Linked DNA regions of Ovis aries. The protein of the gene in region 4 interacts with the protein of the main gene of each other region in a pairwise test. Links are inferred from orthologs where the notes say so. Each region holds a gene or a part of one and is shown on either strand. Other genes may lie near its edges.

What was found. The genes of interacting proteins can lie anywhere in the genome.
Region 1: the proteins of CTBP1 (region 4) and DMRTB1 interact in a two-hybrid assay, tested with the Homo sapiens proteins (4 studies listed by BioGRID). The link is inferred for Ovis aries from reciprocal best matches to the Homo sapiens genes CTBP1 and DMRTB1.
Region 2: the proteins of CTBP1 (region 4) and SNRPN interact in a two-hybrid assay, tested with the Homo sapiens proteins (2 studies listed by BioGRID and IntAct). The link is inferred for Ovis aries from reciprocal best matches to the Homo sapiens genes CTBP1 and SNRPN.
Region 3: the proteins of CTBP1 (region 4) and PRKAA1 interact in binary tests that used the Homo sapiens proteins (3 or more experiments, as listed by UniProt). The two-hybrid records come from large-scale screens. The link is inferred for Ovis aries from reciprocal best matches to the Homo sapiens genes CTBP1 and PRKAA1.

The regions. Positions count from the first base shown.
Region 1 is NC_056054.1:27,988,340-27,990,729, forward strand, and holds the end of DMRTB1 (doublesex- and mab-3-related transcription factor B1), read left to right. Parts: intron 1-352; coding exon 353-551; intron 552-1,825; coding exon 1,826-1,890; downstream 1,891-2,390.
Region 2 is NC_056071.1:1,233,855-1,237,354, reverse strand, and holds part of SNRPN (small nuclear ribonucleoprotein-associated protein N), read right to left. Parts: intron 1,813-3,500; coding exon 1,701-1,812; intron 1,259-1,700; coding exon 1,106-1,258; intron 678-1,105; coding exon 539-677; intron 173-538; coding exon 47-172; intron 1-46.
Region 3 is NC_056069.1:33,878,920-33,882,419, forward strand, and holds part of PRKAA1 (5'-AMP-activated protein kinase catalytic subunit alpha-1), read left to right. Parts: exon of another isoform or gene 1-341; coding exon 342-566; exon of another isoform or gene 567-2,371; intron 2,372-2,479; exon of another isoform or gene 2,480-2,492; coding exon 2,493-2,979; exon of another isoform or gene 2,980-3,089; coding exon 3,090-3,216; exon of another isoform or gene 3,217-3,500. UniProt on the Homo sapiens protein: Catalytic subunit of AMP-activated protein kinase (AMPK), an energy sensor protein kinase that plays a key role in regulating cellular energy metabolism.
Region 4 is NC_056059.1:117,891,701-117,895,762, reverse strand, and holds the start of CTBP1 (C-terminal-binding protein 1), read right to left. Parts: upstream 2,801-4,062; 5' UTR 2,619-2,800; coding exon 2,579-2,618; intron 2,337-2,578; exon of another isoform or gene 180-2,336; intron 1-179. UniProt on the Homo sapiens protein: Corepressor targeting diverse transcription regulators such as GLIS2 or BCL6. Has dehydrogenase activity. Involved in controlling the equilibrium between tubular and stacked structures in the Golgi complex.

The sequences.
Region 1 (2,390 bases), on a different chromosome or scaffold from region 4:
CCCAGCTCTGGCCTGGGCCTGTACCGTCTCTCACTGATGCTGGTTTTTGTCGCTGCAGTGAGGATGGTTAATGGACCCTCCCTCCTAGGGTCGTCAGGATAGAATGAGGCTGTAGACATACTCAAATGCAGCTGCTCCCCAGGCTTCTCTGCGTTGTGCTTGTGTCCGTCCTTGCCTTCAGTCAGCTGGCAGGGGTTTGCTGAACACCCTGTTCTGAGTATCCTGTGCTCCACTGTCTGGGCTGCAGAGATGAATCACCTCCACAGGGAGCCCCCATTCAGGGGCCTGAATGTGGGATCGGCCCCCTGGCTCACCCTCTGCCCTCTGACTGCCTGCTGTGTGTGCCCTGCAGGTGGCGGAACCTGTGGGAGACTTCCAGCCAAGCTACTACCAGCCGCTGGGGCAGCCGCCACTGGGGCAGCCGCCGCAGCCTCAATTCCTCCCGCCGGGCTTGCTGTCTGCGCTCCACTTCCTCCTGCCGCCGCTGCCCCCACCGCCTCCAGCAACCTTCTCGCTGACCGTCCTGTCTGACACGGACAAGGAGAACACCGGTGAGTGAGGCCCCGTCTTCCAGCTGCCGAGGGACACAGGAAGACTCTGGAGGATGGGGGTCCTACTATGACGTGGGCGTGGAGGGCAGGGAAATGGAGAATAGGATTTTCAATGTCCTGGGCCCTGGGGAAACTCTTTCCTGGCACCGCTCTCTTAAATTCCATACATGAACTTCTAGGGGAGGTGAGTCCCCATTCTCAGGTGAGGAAACTGTGATAGAACCCTGAGAGGGTCTCACATATGTACATGGTGCAGCTCGGGTTCCAACAGAAGTCTCTGTCTGGCTCCAGCTTCAACGCTAATTTCCTCACCTTAACAGTTCCTGTGGGCAAAACATGGAGGATGGCACGCGCGTGGTGCCGAAGGACCAGAGGTGCCAGGCCTCTCTGGCTGGGGAAGCAGCACGTGCTGAGCCTGCCTGGGGCTGGTGGGGATGATTCCTCTGGCTCGGGCCACTCTGGCCTTCACAGCTCGGTCACTGGTGCACTGGGTGATCTTGGGCACTCACACCCTCCTCTGGGCCTCAGTCTTCTCACCTGTTAAGTGGGCCCTGTCACAGGGTTACTGTGAGGGTTTTCTTTTGAGGGCCCTTGAAGCTTTAAAAGTTGTAGGATTTTTTCTTCCCTCTTTCAGTCCTCCCCTGAGGCTCCTTAAGAAAAGAAACCGAGGCCTGTTGTATGTCCGATGCCTAGATCTGTTAACTGGGGAAGTGGTACAGTGTGACTTGAAGTACGATGGCCCTGGTGCCGCACAGCCTGGGTGTAAGTCCTGGCTCCAGCACTTGCCCACGGTGTGACCTCGGGCAAGTTCATTCACTCCTCGGTGCTTCAGTTTCGGTATCTGCAAGAGCAAACTAATGAAGGGTCCCTTCCCTCATGAGCTCATCCTGAGGATTAAACAAAACCTAAAATGACGAAGGCATTGGTAAAGATTGTTCTCACTGTTGTCCCTAATCCCCATGCCAACCATGATGCTGCATAGTAAGCACCTTCTAATGGACAGAAGGAGACGCTGAGGTTCAGAGCTGAGAGTAGCTCGCTTCCTGCCACCCAGCTTGTGACAAGCAGAGCTGGAGTCTGAACTTGAGTCTATATCCTCTGGCCAGGGCTAGAATCCCAGTTTCCTGACTCCTAGCAAATTAAAAGTAGGAATGGGAATAACTAATTCTCTGTAGGGACTGGCAATGATGGTGATGCCTTGTAGAAAACTTATGTGTGAAAACAGGTGATTTCCCCTCTTTCTCAATCCAGCCCCTCTTCTCTGTCCTTCACAGATGACCAGGATGTGGAAGGGCCGAGCGAGCCCAGCCAGCCATCGTCCCAGGAGCAGTCCGACTAGGCCCAGGCCCTCAGGCCAGCAGCGTGGGGCCTTGGTGGGGGGGCGGGGGGGGGGTGCTTGCAGCAATGATTTTCTTGTCTCTATTCAGTGATATGTAGGGAGGAAGGGTAGTGATAAGCTAAGGTGGCCGTGAATTCCCATTTCAAGATAGGAGGAAGAGTGTGGTTGCTAAGGTTCTCTCAAGCCTGAGACACAGGGCTTGAAAAGGAACTCAGAGGATGAAGTCACCAGGGCTCGGCCAGAGCTCTGAGATGTGGGAGGCTGGCGAGAGCTCACATTTCAGAATGAATTTAGCCAGCTCTGTGTTGGTTGCTGTTAGTCAGATTCACCCCAGAGGCGGCCTTTGACTTCCTCAGGTCCTGCTGCAGGGCAGAGGCACGGTCTACCTCAGCCTCTGCTTCTGCTGCCTCTGTCTGGTCCCCAGCAGGAGGCAGCACAGATATCAGGCGTCCAGCACATCCAAGTGGATGGCGGGAGCAGCCAGGACCAGGGTGCTGAGC
Region 2 (3,500 bases), on a different chromosome or scaffold from region 4:
AGGGGCCTGGCTAGTACCACTGAGAAAATTATTAACACTCACTCACCTCTTATCCCTGGTGGAGGGGGTCTCATTCCTGGAGGGGGCATGCCTATTGGTGTCCCACGAGTAGGAGGAAGCCCAATTGGTGGGCCCATGGGTGGTCTCATACCAGGTGGAGGAGCCATAATTCCTAGAAAGAAAAATGGCAGGAAAAAAAAGGCACATAAATCAGCTAAGATGGTAGCATAAAGCACAAGATAATAGTTAAAAAAATAAGCCAGGTAGTAAGTAAAGAGTTGAACAAATTTCTCCTTGACCACTGCTACGTCAGATCATCCCAATTCAAGAGTCCATAGCTTTTCATTAAAAATCAATGGCCAAAAGTGAAAACATATTCCAAGTTCCTAGTTAGGGAGTTAGGCTGAGCCTTAATTCAGTATCTTCTTAAAGAGTGATTTTGGTCATCATGATTTTATTTCACAGATCCACATTGGTATCTAACAACCAAATTCTTTTAGAATTCCTTTTAGAACCGAATTCTCCACCAATTCCTTACCTGGAGGTGGGGTTGCTCGACCAACAGGTGTAGGTGCAGTCCCCCGTCCTGGTGGATACTGAGTTGGAGCTCCAGCAATGCTGGCAGTAGCAGCAACTGCAGCAGCTGCTACAGTGCCTCTTCCCTGTGGGGTCATTACCTGAGAAAGAACACACAGATAGACAGCAAATATTAACACTTCCTCACATCATTCAAATACAGAAAATAAAAGGCTGATCATACACTATTTATTAAACATAAAGTAATTATAGTAATTCTGCACTTCTCCCATTTTTCTCATTTAAAGCACACTATCACCACTATCACACTATCCTTTAAAATGAACATGTCCACTTTTAACCTCATCAGCCCTTTGCATGCTCAACTCTGGTTTATCCATCCATATTCCTCTTTGCTCATCAGTGCTGAGTTACTGCTATCATGGTGGCTTCATAATGTATATTTTTACCTCTCTTCCCTCTACAGCATATACTGCTTTACGCAGTACAGGATGTTCACTCAGTTTTTTCTACCTCCTCAATATCAGATTCCAGGTACTTTCTCTCAATAACATTCCTGGTTCCTCACCTGTTGAGATGGGCCCCCAACCCCTCGGACAGGTCCTGCTAATCCAGCAGGAGCCTGGGGAATTGGAACACCAGCTGGAACGCCTCTGCCAGCTGCCCTGCCAACCCCAGGGCCCCCTGCAGCTCCAGCAAGTGGTACCCGAGCAATGCCAGTCTGAAACAAAAAAATACATATATAGCTTGAAATCAAATTTATGAAACCTATCTATCAATAATCATTCCTAAATAATTACCTCTTTCCAACATTTTCCCATATACCCTATCTCATATGAGGTTCTATATTGAAAATAGCATCAAGAGAAGCATCCTACAGACTAGATGTACACTAGTCAAATTGGGAGCCCATATATTTTCATGATCCTATCAAGAGAAAATAAATCAGCACTCCTACCCTTAACTAGATTGTAGTCAGCATAACTCTATAGAATATGCTTAATCTCCCATTATAGACAAACAAGAACTTATATCAAGTGCCAGGCACATTTTGACAAAGGTATAGTATACTTTGTCTCTGTTGTACACTCATTTAGCACATAATTCAAACAATGTGATTCCCTCCCACATTAATGTTCTGTCCTGTCCTACATCTTTCTTACATCTTTGGGGGGTGGTCCCTCCACAGTCATGGAAACCAAGTTCTCCCCACGCAACAACACCAGACCCAAAACTCGCTTTTCTTCACGCTCTGGCTGCTTAGCATTCTTTGGCCTATAAACGGGAAGAAAATTTTAGTATGGTAAGTTATGGATCGACTCACTAACATTTTTATAGATAATTACCTATCAAGACAGTAATCCATGCCCAGATAGTCATGCTCAGTTACTGAGTCGTGACAAAAACAAAGAAAACTAGACTCGATATATAACGTGAGCTCTTTTCCTATCATACATCAAACTTTCAGAATATTCCCTCAATGTTGTACTATAGCAAAACTAATTTCTTCTTTGTGAAACATAGATGCAAATAACATTGCTAAGATTCTTTTAATAGTTGTTGCTATTGTTCAACTGGTAAGTCATGCTGACTCTGCGACCCCAGGAACTGCAGCACAATATACTTTCCTATCTTTCACTGTCTCCCAGAGTTTGTTCAAACTCACGCCCATTGAGTCAGTGATACCATCCAATCATCTCATCCTCTGTCACCCTCTTCTCCTCCTGCCCTCAATCTTTTCCAGCATAAGGGTCTTTACTGATAGCAAAACTTAGAATTTTATCTTTCTCCTTCCAGTTTTACTGACATACAATTGACAAACCATACTGTGTTAACTTCAAGGTCTATACCATAATGACTTACTTATTTCATGAAATGACTACCACAATAATTTTAGTGGACCTCCAACATGTCTTACAGATACAAAAGAAAAAAAATGTTTTTCCTTGTGATGAACTCTTTTAATAACTTTCATGTATAACAGACAGCACTGCTAATTTCATTTCTCATGCTCTGCATCACATCCCTTGTACCTAATTATCTTAAAAATGGAAATTCATAATTTTTAACCACTTTCATCCAATTCGCCCCACCACCCCCTGCTTCTGGCAGCCACAAATTCGATCTCGTTTTCTGAGTTTGTTTTTGAAGTATAACTGACCTACAACACTACATTATTTTCTAATGCACTACACAGTAATTCAATTATTTCTGTTATAAGGAGATCATTATAAAGTGATCAACACTGGCTAAGACTTTGAAGACAGGAAACATTGAAACCAAGTTTTTATGTTAAAATGGGATTTAAATCATTTTTAACTAATTAAGTAAATATTGATGACAGACAACTGAAATAAGGGATGAGAACAGCAACAGTCTAATAGCAGACACCTGCTTATTCCTAGACTTACCACATATTATATAACCATGGGAAGTGGCTTCCCAGGTGGTGCTAATGGTAAAGAACTCATCTGTCAATGCAGGAGACATAAGAGATGTGGGTCTGAGTCCTGGAAGATGGCAAGCCACTCCAGTGTTCTTGTCAGGAGAATCTCATGGACAGGGCAGCCTGGCAGGCTACAGTCCATGAGGTGGCAAAGAGTCAGACACAACCAAAGTGACTGAGTATGCATGGGTATAATCAGGGGAAATCTTTCTGAAAACTTTTTGAACTTCTGTTAGTCTAATTTCCTCATGTGTCAGCAGCAAAAGTCATATATGCATACAACTTCTACCATAGAGATAGTGCCTTATTTAGGTGAAATTATCCCTAAAACTACTGAAGAATGAGACATAAATTAAGGATAAAGCACTCTCAGTTGTCTTTAGTATTTATCAAAGTTGTAATTTTTTAAAAATCGTTTCCAGTAAAAATGTAGATTATTTAAACAAAACCTTAACATTGATCATTAACTTAGCATTCATCATCTAGAATTTCTGAAATGACCCAACTTCATATGCAG
Region 3 (3,500 bases), on a different chromosome or scaffold from region 4:
ATGATATGTTTGTTCAAAGTTTGGCCCTATTAGTTGGAGGTACAAAGTGCTTTTACTCTATATTGAAGTATGATGTCTCAAGATAGGACAATTGTGCGGTACTGAGGAGATAATTTTAGCTATAGTCTGTAACTTTAAAAAAATTCTTAAATTTTGTGTCCTGAGATAATATTGATAGAATTAGTGTAGAATCTCTATGTGTAGTACATAGCAGTGACTTATAGAAACCATATTCTGACTAATAATTCTTTATAAAATATCTGTATTTAAAATGTATGATTCATTGATTGACTCTTAAGTTACTAATGATTGTTTAACCCAGTTGGTATTTCCTGTTGCAGATTGTATGCTGGCCCAGAGGTAGATATATGGAGCAGTGGGGTTATTCTCTACGCTTTATTATGTGGAACCCTTCCATTTGATGATGATCATGTGCCAACTCTTTTTAAGAAGATATGTGATGGGATCTTTTATACCCCTCAATATTTAAATCCTTCTGTGATTAGCCTTTTGAAACATATGCTGCAGGTGGATCCCATGAAGAGAGCCACAATCAAAGATATCAGGTGAGAAAGCAATCTGATTGTCAGATCTAACAGTATCCGTGATATAAGTCAAGTGAAAGAGAAATTTGCAGAATAGTTTGTACAATGTAATCCCATTTTTATATTAAAAACAATGTATAGACTCAAACTTATTTTATCTTGATATTTAAAAATACTAAACTGGCTACCTTAGGAAGTAAGATTAGGAGGAGGAAAGGCTTTCACTTTTTGCTTATGCTTCTTTATTTGTTTTGAAATTGTAACTGTGAACATTACTTTTTAAATTTAAAAAAAAAAGATGTAATGAAAAATAAAAAAGACCCTAGTCGGGTATTAGATTTGGTAGTGATTCTTTAAGATTTTCTGTAATATGCTTCATGTTTGACTTTTACACATTCTCATACTTTTTCATAGTAAATTTGTATATTGCTTTTTGAGTTCTCATCTTACAAGTTACTGTATTTTTCCCTTTTGTTCATCTCTAGGAATAAGAACATTTTAATTCAGTCAATGACATGTTGTTTTTGTAGTAGTATACATTGAATTACATATGAAATTATTGTTTTGTAAGTAAAAGGTCCACCAGTATTGCCAGTTTCATGTGGTTCAACCTAACAGTTTAAATAAGGCAAAAGTGATGATGACAAATCTCAAATTTGAGCAGGTCATTTCTGATGAAGATAATACTGCAAACTTTGTTTCTACTACCACTGTTTTTCTTTCCTTTTTTCGTTAATGGAAATTTCTCTTTTGGTCTTCTAATGGCTATATAGAACATTTCTCTGAGATGGAGGAAGAAGGATGAAAGAAATCAGATATGTATTTGGGACCAGTAAAGACGAAAGTATTAGGGCAATGAAGAAGAAAGAGCATATGTAGAACTTAAAGTTTGATTCCTAAAATAAATAAATAATAAGGACCTACTTTATAAGCACAGGGGACCCTATTCAATACTATGTAATGACTTGTATGGGGAAAGAGTCTAAAAAAGAGTGGATATATGTGTAACTGATTCGCTGTGTTGTACAGCAGAAAGTAACACAACATTGTAAACCAACTACACTCCAGTAAAAAAAAAAACAAAGCTTAATTCCTTTCCATTTACTCCATTTTCTGCAGACTAAAAAAGAGAAGGAATGGTAGGTCATGACTTCACTACTAGAAGAGAAGGACTGATTCATCTCTAAATTTATATTTCAGAATATCTTAGAGGTGGTTTTTCTTGTGTTTTACCTACTTTTTTCCAATTTAAATGAAATATGTGACAATTGGAAAAGACTTAGAAAACACCAAAAACATTAGAGAATTTAAATGATCTTTAATTCCATTATCCAGAAGATAATCTTTGTTCTTTGGGGTGTTTCCTCTCAATATTTTAAATTTTAGCATATTTTTATACAATTGAAGTCCAAAAATATCCCTTTATATGTAAAATTAGGAAATCTCAGTTCCTTCATTAAAATAAGGGGACATTATTATTATCTTACTGGAGTTGTTTGAAAATGAGGTGAGATAACAGATATGAAGTGTTCAGCTTAAAATCTACCACATAGTAAGCATTCAATGAGTGAAAGCTGTCTATTTTTGTTTATATATTTTTTTCACTTAACAATATATCCCAAGAGGAAACCACAGACTAATTTTGTTCTTTTCTGAGCTGGAAATAAGATGTCTTTACCATTAGCATGCCATTGCCATTTGTTCCAAAAATTTAAAGTGTAGACACTTCTTCCCTGGTTGCTCCAGCAGTGTTGTCTCCCTCTTACTATGAGAGGAAGGCTGAGCATTTCTGTTATACAATGAAATGTGAGCCAAGAGAGAAAAATCTGTTTTAAAAAAATGATAACAGTATGAATGATAATACTGTACGAGTATAAATTCCCCAAACAGTTACTTTCAGTCTCCTCTCTCCTCCAAACCCTTCTGACACCTACCATTTTCTCTCAGGGAACATGAATGGTTTAAACAGGACCTTCCAAAATATCTCTTTCCTGAGGATCCATCATATAGCTCAACCATGATTGATGATGAAGCCTTAAAAGAAGTATGTGAAAAATTTGAATGCTCAGAGGAGGAGGTTCTCAGCTGCCTTTATAACAGAAATCACCAGGACCCTTTGGCAGTTGCCTACCACCTCATAATAGATAACAGGAGGATAATGAACGAGGCCAAAGATTTTTACTTGGCAACAAGCCCACCAGATTCTTTTCTCGACGATCACCACTTGACCCGGCCCCATCCTGAAAGAGTACCATTCTTGGTTGCTGAAACTCCCAGGGCGCGCCATACCCTCGATGAATTAAATCCACAGAAATCTAAACACCAAGGTGTAAGGAAAGCAAAATGGCATTTGGGAATTAGAAGTCAAAGTCGGCCAAATGATATCATGGCAGAAGTTTGTAGAGCAATTAAACAACTGGATTATGAATGGAAGGTAAGAAAGAAAGAGCATTCTGAATATTAGCACATTTGACAAACCTGTAGTCTATCATGTTTTATAGAAGAATTCCTTTTCACTTTGTTTTTGTCCATACCATGCGCTAGGTTGTAAACCCGTATTATTTGCGTGTTCGGAGGAAGAATCCTGTGACAAGTACATACTCCAAAATGAGTCTGCAGTTATACCAAGTGGATAGTAGAACATATTTATTGGATTTCCGAAGTATTGATGGTATGTACATCACACAGAACAATGTAGACGACATATTAGACCTTGTTACTTACTTTGGGATTTTAGTAAATCTTTGAGTCTTTTGAAGCTTCTTGAATTGTACCTCGTAATTCAATAGCAAAAGAACATAAAAGCACCTTTTAGATTTGAATATTTGAGAATCTAGGAAATAGTTTATTGTCCTTTTAAGACTATCTTCTAAAATCCTTAAAGCGTTATACAGCTTTATCTTAAACTGATAGTTTGTTACATTTTTGTTTCTTGTAGTTCATTTTGGTAAGATG
Region 4 (4,062 bases):
GTCGCTGAGCCCCCAGACTGGTCACAGCACATCCCTGCATCTGCAGAACGCCCCGGGTTCCTGAGAGCCCAGGCCTAGGCCTCAGCGCACCCGCAGCGCTGGCTCAGGGGCACGCACTGGCTCATGCCGCCTGGTGCAGGGCTACGGAGCATCGCAAAGCGGACACTCCCAGAGCTCACCTCCGAACAGCCTCTGCTTCCGCTCCAGCCCCAGAACTGCCGCCTCAAACTCAAGTTCCAAACTCTGCAGCCACGAACAGGGTCCCTGACCCCACGTCCAGCCCTCCAGCCATCTCCCCGGCCCCACGGCCCCCACGCTCCACCAGGCTTCCGGCCTGCACACTGCGGCCCCCTGGTCACCGCAGTCCCTTGCACACGCCTCATCAGCAGGAAGCGCATGCGTCACTGCCCCTGGTACCTTCCCATCCTCCTCTGCAAAGCCGGCCCATCGGTCAGGATGTGCCCTTTGGCTGACCACGAGTCACAGCTGACACACCAAGGCCCCCCGCCCACCCCCGTGTCACTCTGTCGGAAGAGCCGGCAGCAGCCACGCCTTCTCCAGCTCACCCCTGCCCCCAGCACAGCCGTCTGAGCAGGGTTCTGGCCACACTGACAGGGCGGGTCTGGCTGTGGTGGATGCTGAGCCCCTGGAGGCAAGGCCAGGGGGCTCCCCCAGGCACACAGGGCTTCAGAGCACCCGCAGCAGGCCCACCCACCAAGAGTCAGCCTCACAGCGCAGTGTCCTCAGCTCCTCAGAAACCAAAAGGCGCCCCGCACACGTGCTAGATAAAAGCCGTGACGCGAGGCACGTATGTGTCACGAAGACCCCTCGCCACTCGAATTCATCTCTGCCACCGTCTTCACTCACGCCCACCTGTGTGCACATGCCCTGCTACCTTCGTGATGCTCAAGAGTCCCAGGAAAACTTCACCCAAATCAAGTGACAGAGAGGGGCAGGTTCACTGTGAAACAAACCGCGGCCCTGCACGCCACCCTCCTGCCTTCCGGAGGGACAGTCTGCACAGGGACCCCGGTCCTGAGCCTTGCCCCCTACCTCCAGGGCCTAGCACCCTCCCCATCCCCCGCCCTGCCCCTCCACCTGACAGGTGGCACCCGCTCCGTCACGTGGCCCCACTTCTAACGCTCCAGCCCCTCTACAGCCACAGCGCAGAGAGCACAAGGCCACGACCATGCACCAGGCAGGGGCTCAGCCTGGGCTCCCTGAGCGCCAGGCCTGCGCTCTTGCCTGCTGCGGCCACTCGTCCAGAGGCTCAGGGATGCCGCCCCGTGCAAGAATGGACAGGAGACGCTAACCCACAGGGCACCCGCCCGTCCACACTGCTGGAGACGAGCTTTCTCCTGAGTGTCTGTCTGCCTCTGCGTACATACATTTGAGACTTGGGTGGGGGGATCCTGGAGAGGGAGAAGGTGCCCCCGCGGGGTAAGACCTGCAGACCCCACTCTGGACCCCTCATGTGCGACCCAACTGTCCAGTCATCCAGACAAACGGGAGGGGTGGTATCACTCCTCGGGGCGGGCTCGGAAGAAAACCAATCCCATCGCACGCCCCAACAGCGAGCCTGTCCTAACCAACCACAGAGAAGAGCATCACCGGAAAGGAGGCTGCCCGCCACAGGCCGCCCTCCCGGCAAGCCCAGGGCCGGGGGTGGGGGGGGACCCTCCGCGGCAGGCAGGCACCGGCCAGAGGGAGCCCCGCCCGGACCCACGGCCGCTCCTGCGTCCACAGACCTCGGAGCCCGGGGCCCGGACGCGCCCCCAGCGCGAGGGGGGCCCGGCCGGGGGAGCTGGGCCTGCTCGGGGGCAGTGACAGGTGGACACGGCCCGGCCCGACGGCGGCGGCGCGCGGCGGCCAGCAAAGCCCCACCGCGGGCCGCCCCCGGCCGCAGGCTCGGGGCGCCGCCCGGGCACGGAGTGCGCCTGCTCCCCACACTTGACAGAGCAAGGAGGGGACGGGGTGAGACGGACGCGGCCACAACCGTCCGGCCGCTCGGGCGGACACGGGCCCGGGCCGGGTGTCACCCCCGCCGCCGCGCCCCGTCAGACGTTTCCACAGCGGGGCCGCAGTGCACGGGGGCGCAAAGCCCCGGAAGGCCCAGCCCCAGAGGACTCGGGGCCGCCGGCGCGCCCGGCCTCCCTGCGGGGCCCCGCCGGCAGGAGCCCCGCCAGCCGGGACCGCAGGGCGGACAGGCCGGCAGGGCCCCCGCCTCGGGCGCGGAGTCCCGGCCGCCACGGTCCTCAGGGCCCCGCACCCCTTTGTGTCACCTGCGCGGGCGGGCGGGCGGGCGGGGCGGCGGCGCACGCGCACTCGCGCACAGCAGCCCGCGCACGCGCGCGGCGGCCCCCGCGGCCCTGACCCCGGCCCCGCCCCCCGGGCGCCGGCGCGCACGCAGCAGCCCGCGCATGCGCACGGCGCCCCCCGCGGCCCCGGCCCCCGGCGCGCGGACGCCGGCGCGCACGCGCACTCGCACACAAAGCCGGCGCCCGCGCCCGCCCCGCCCGCCCCCGCGGCCCCGCCCCGCCCCGCCCCCGCGGCCGGAAATGCGCGCGCGCGGCCTTACCGAGCGGCAGGCCCTTGTTGAGCAAGTGCGAGCTGCCCATGGAAAGGTGCGGGCGGCCGCGGGCCCCGACCAGTCCGGCGCGCTCCGCCGCGAGCCCGGCGCGTGGCGCGGCCTGGGCGCCGTCCGCCGCTCCGCCCGCTTGCCTGCGCCCGGGCGCCGCCGTGCCGAGCCGCCGCGCCGCGCCAGCAGCCGCTCCACCGGGCGGGGACAGGGCGCGCGCGCGGGCGGGGCTTCCGGCGCGGCGGCCTCCTGTTTCCAGGAGCGGGCGCCGCGCAGACCACGCGGGCGGCTGCAGGCCGCGCCCGCCCGCCCCGCCCGCCCCCCGGGCCCGGCGCCCCGCCCCGCCCCGCCGGCCGCACCTGCCGGGCGCCCCGCGGGCCCCGCGCGCGCTCTCGCCGCGGCCCCCCGGCCTGGAGCCCGCTGAGCCCCTCGTGCACCTTCCCGCGTGCTCCCATCCCCGCACCCACGCGCCGGCCGCCGAGCGAGCGGCGTCTGCGACCCCGGGTTTTAAGGGTCCTTTGGGCTCCTTGGGGCCACGAGGTCGGGGGAGGCAGCGGCGCCGCCCCCGGAGGTTCCTCTGAGATAACCGGCCCTTGTGCTTGAGATCCGGGGACCGAGGAGGGCACAGGCCTGGGCGGGGCAGCTCCCCCGGAACCGGGGCGGTGGAAGTGGTCCCTGGGAAGCGGCCAGGTATGTGGCCGAAGTCGGTGTAAATCCGACCTCCCCCACCCCACCCCCAGCCCCAGCGAGCGACCTGTGCTTCGTTCCAGAACTCCCGAGGGGTCCTGGCACTCGAGGGTCAGGAGGGCTCTCCAGGGTGGGAGGTCGCCAGGCCCCAAGGTCAAGGTGCTCCGGTCATGGGCAAGGACGGAGGCTGACCCTGGGAGACCGTGATGTCTAGAGCAGGGGTGTCCTGGCAGTGGGAATGCTGGCAGGTGGCCTTGAAGACGGGCAGTGCCCCTGTCTTCACAGGTGAAAAGCACGCTGAGCAGGACAGCAGTTGGCTGGTGAAACGCGAGGAACCGTGCTGAGCGCAGCTGGCCTCCACATCCTGCACATCCACAAGCCAGTGAGAAAGGGTGGGTGGGTTTGATAAGCGTCGATAGGGGAACTGGGCATCTAGCCACAGAACAGATGCTTTTAAATTCGTGCTTGGTACTCACCTGTGAGATTACCTCCCAAATTGGGTTAATTAGAACATTTAGGGGAAATGAGAAAACAGGGTTAAATGAACATTCAGCAAGTCTCAGAGAACTTTCCTGAACACAGACAAAACCACTCACAAGGGAAAGCCCGGACCCCCAGACCTGGGCACGTGTCTGGCCCGCACACCCCTCTGGCTCTCTCAGTTAACAGGATGGGGCCCCTGAGGCGACTCCTCCAGCCCCTGCTGTCCGAGACCAGGGTTCTCCTTCCCTACCCGGGCCCCAGCCCAAGGTCACCTGCCCCTCTCCAGCCCAGCAAGCTGCGCAGTGAGCGTGAGA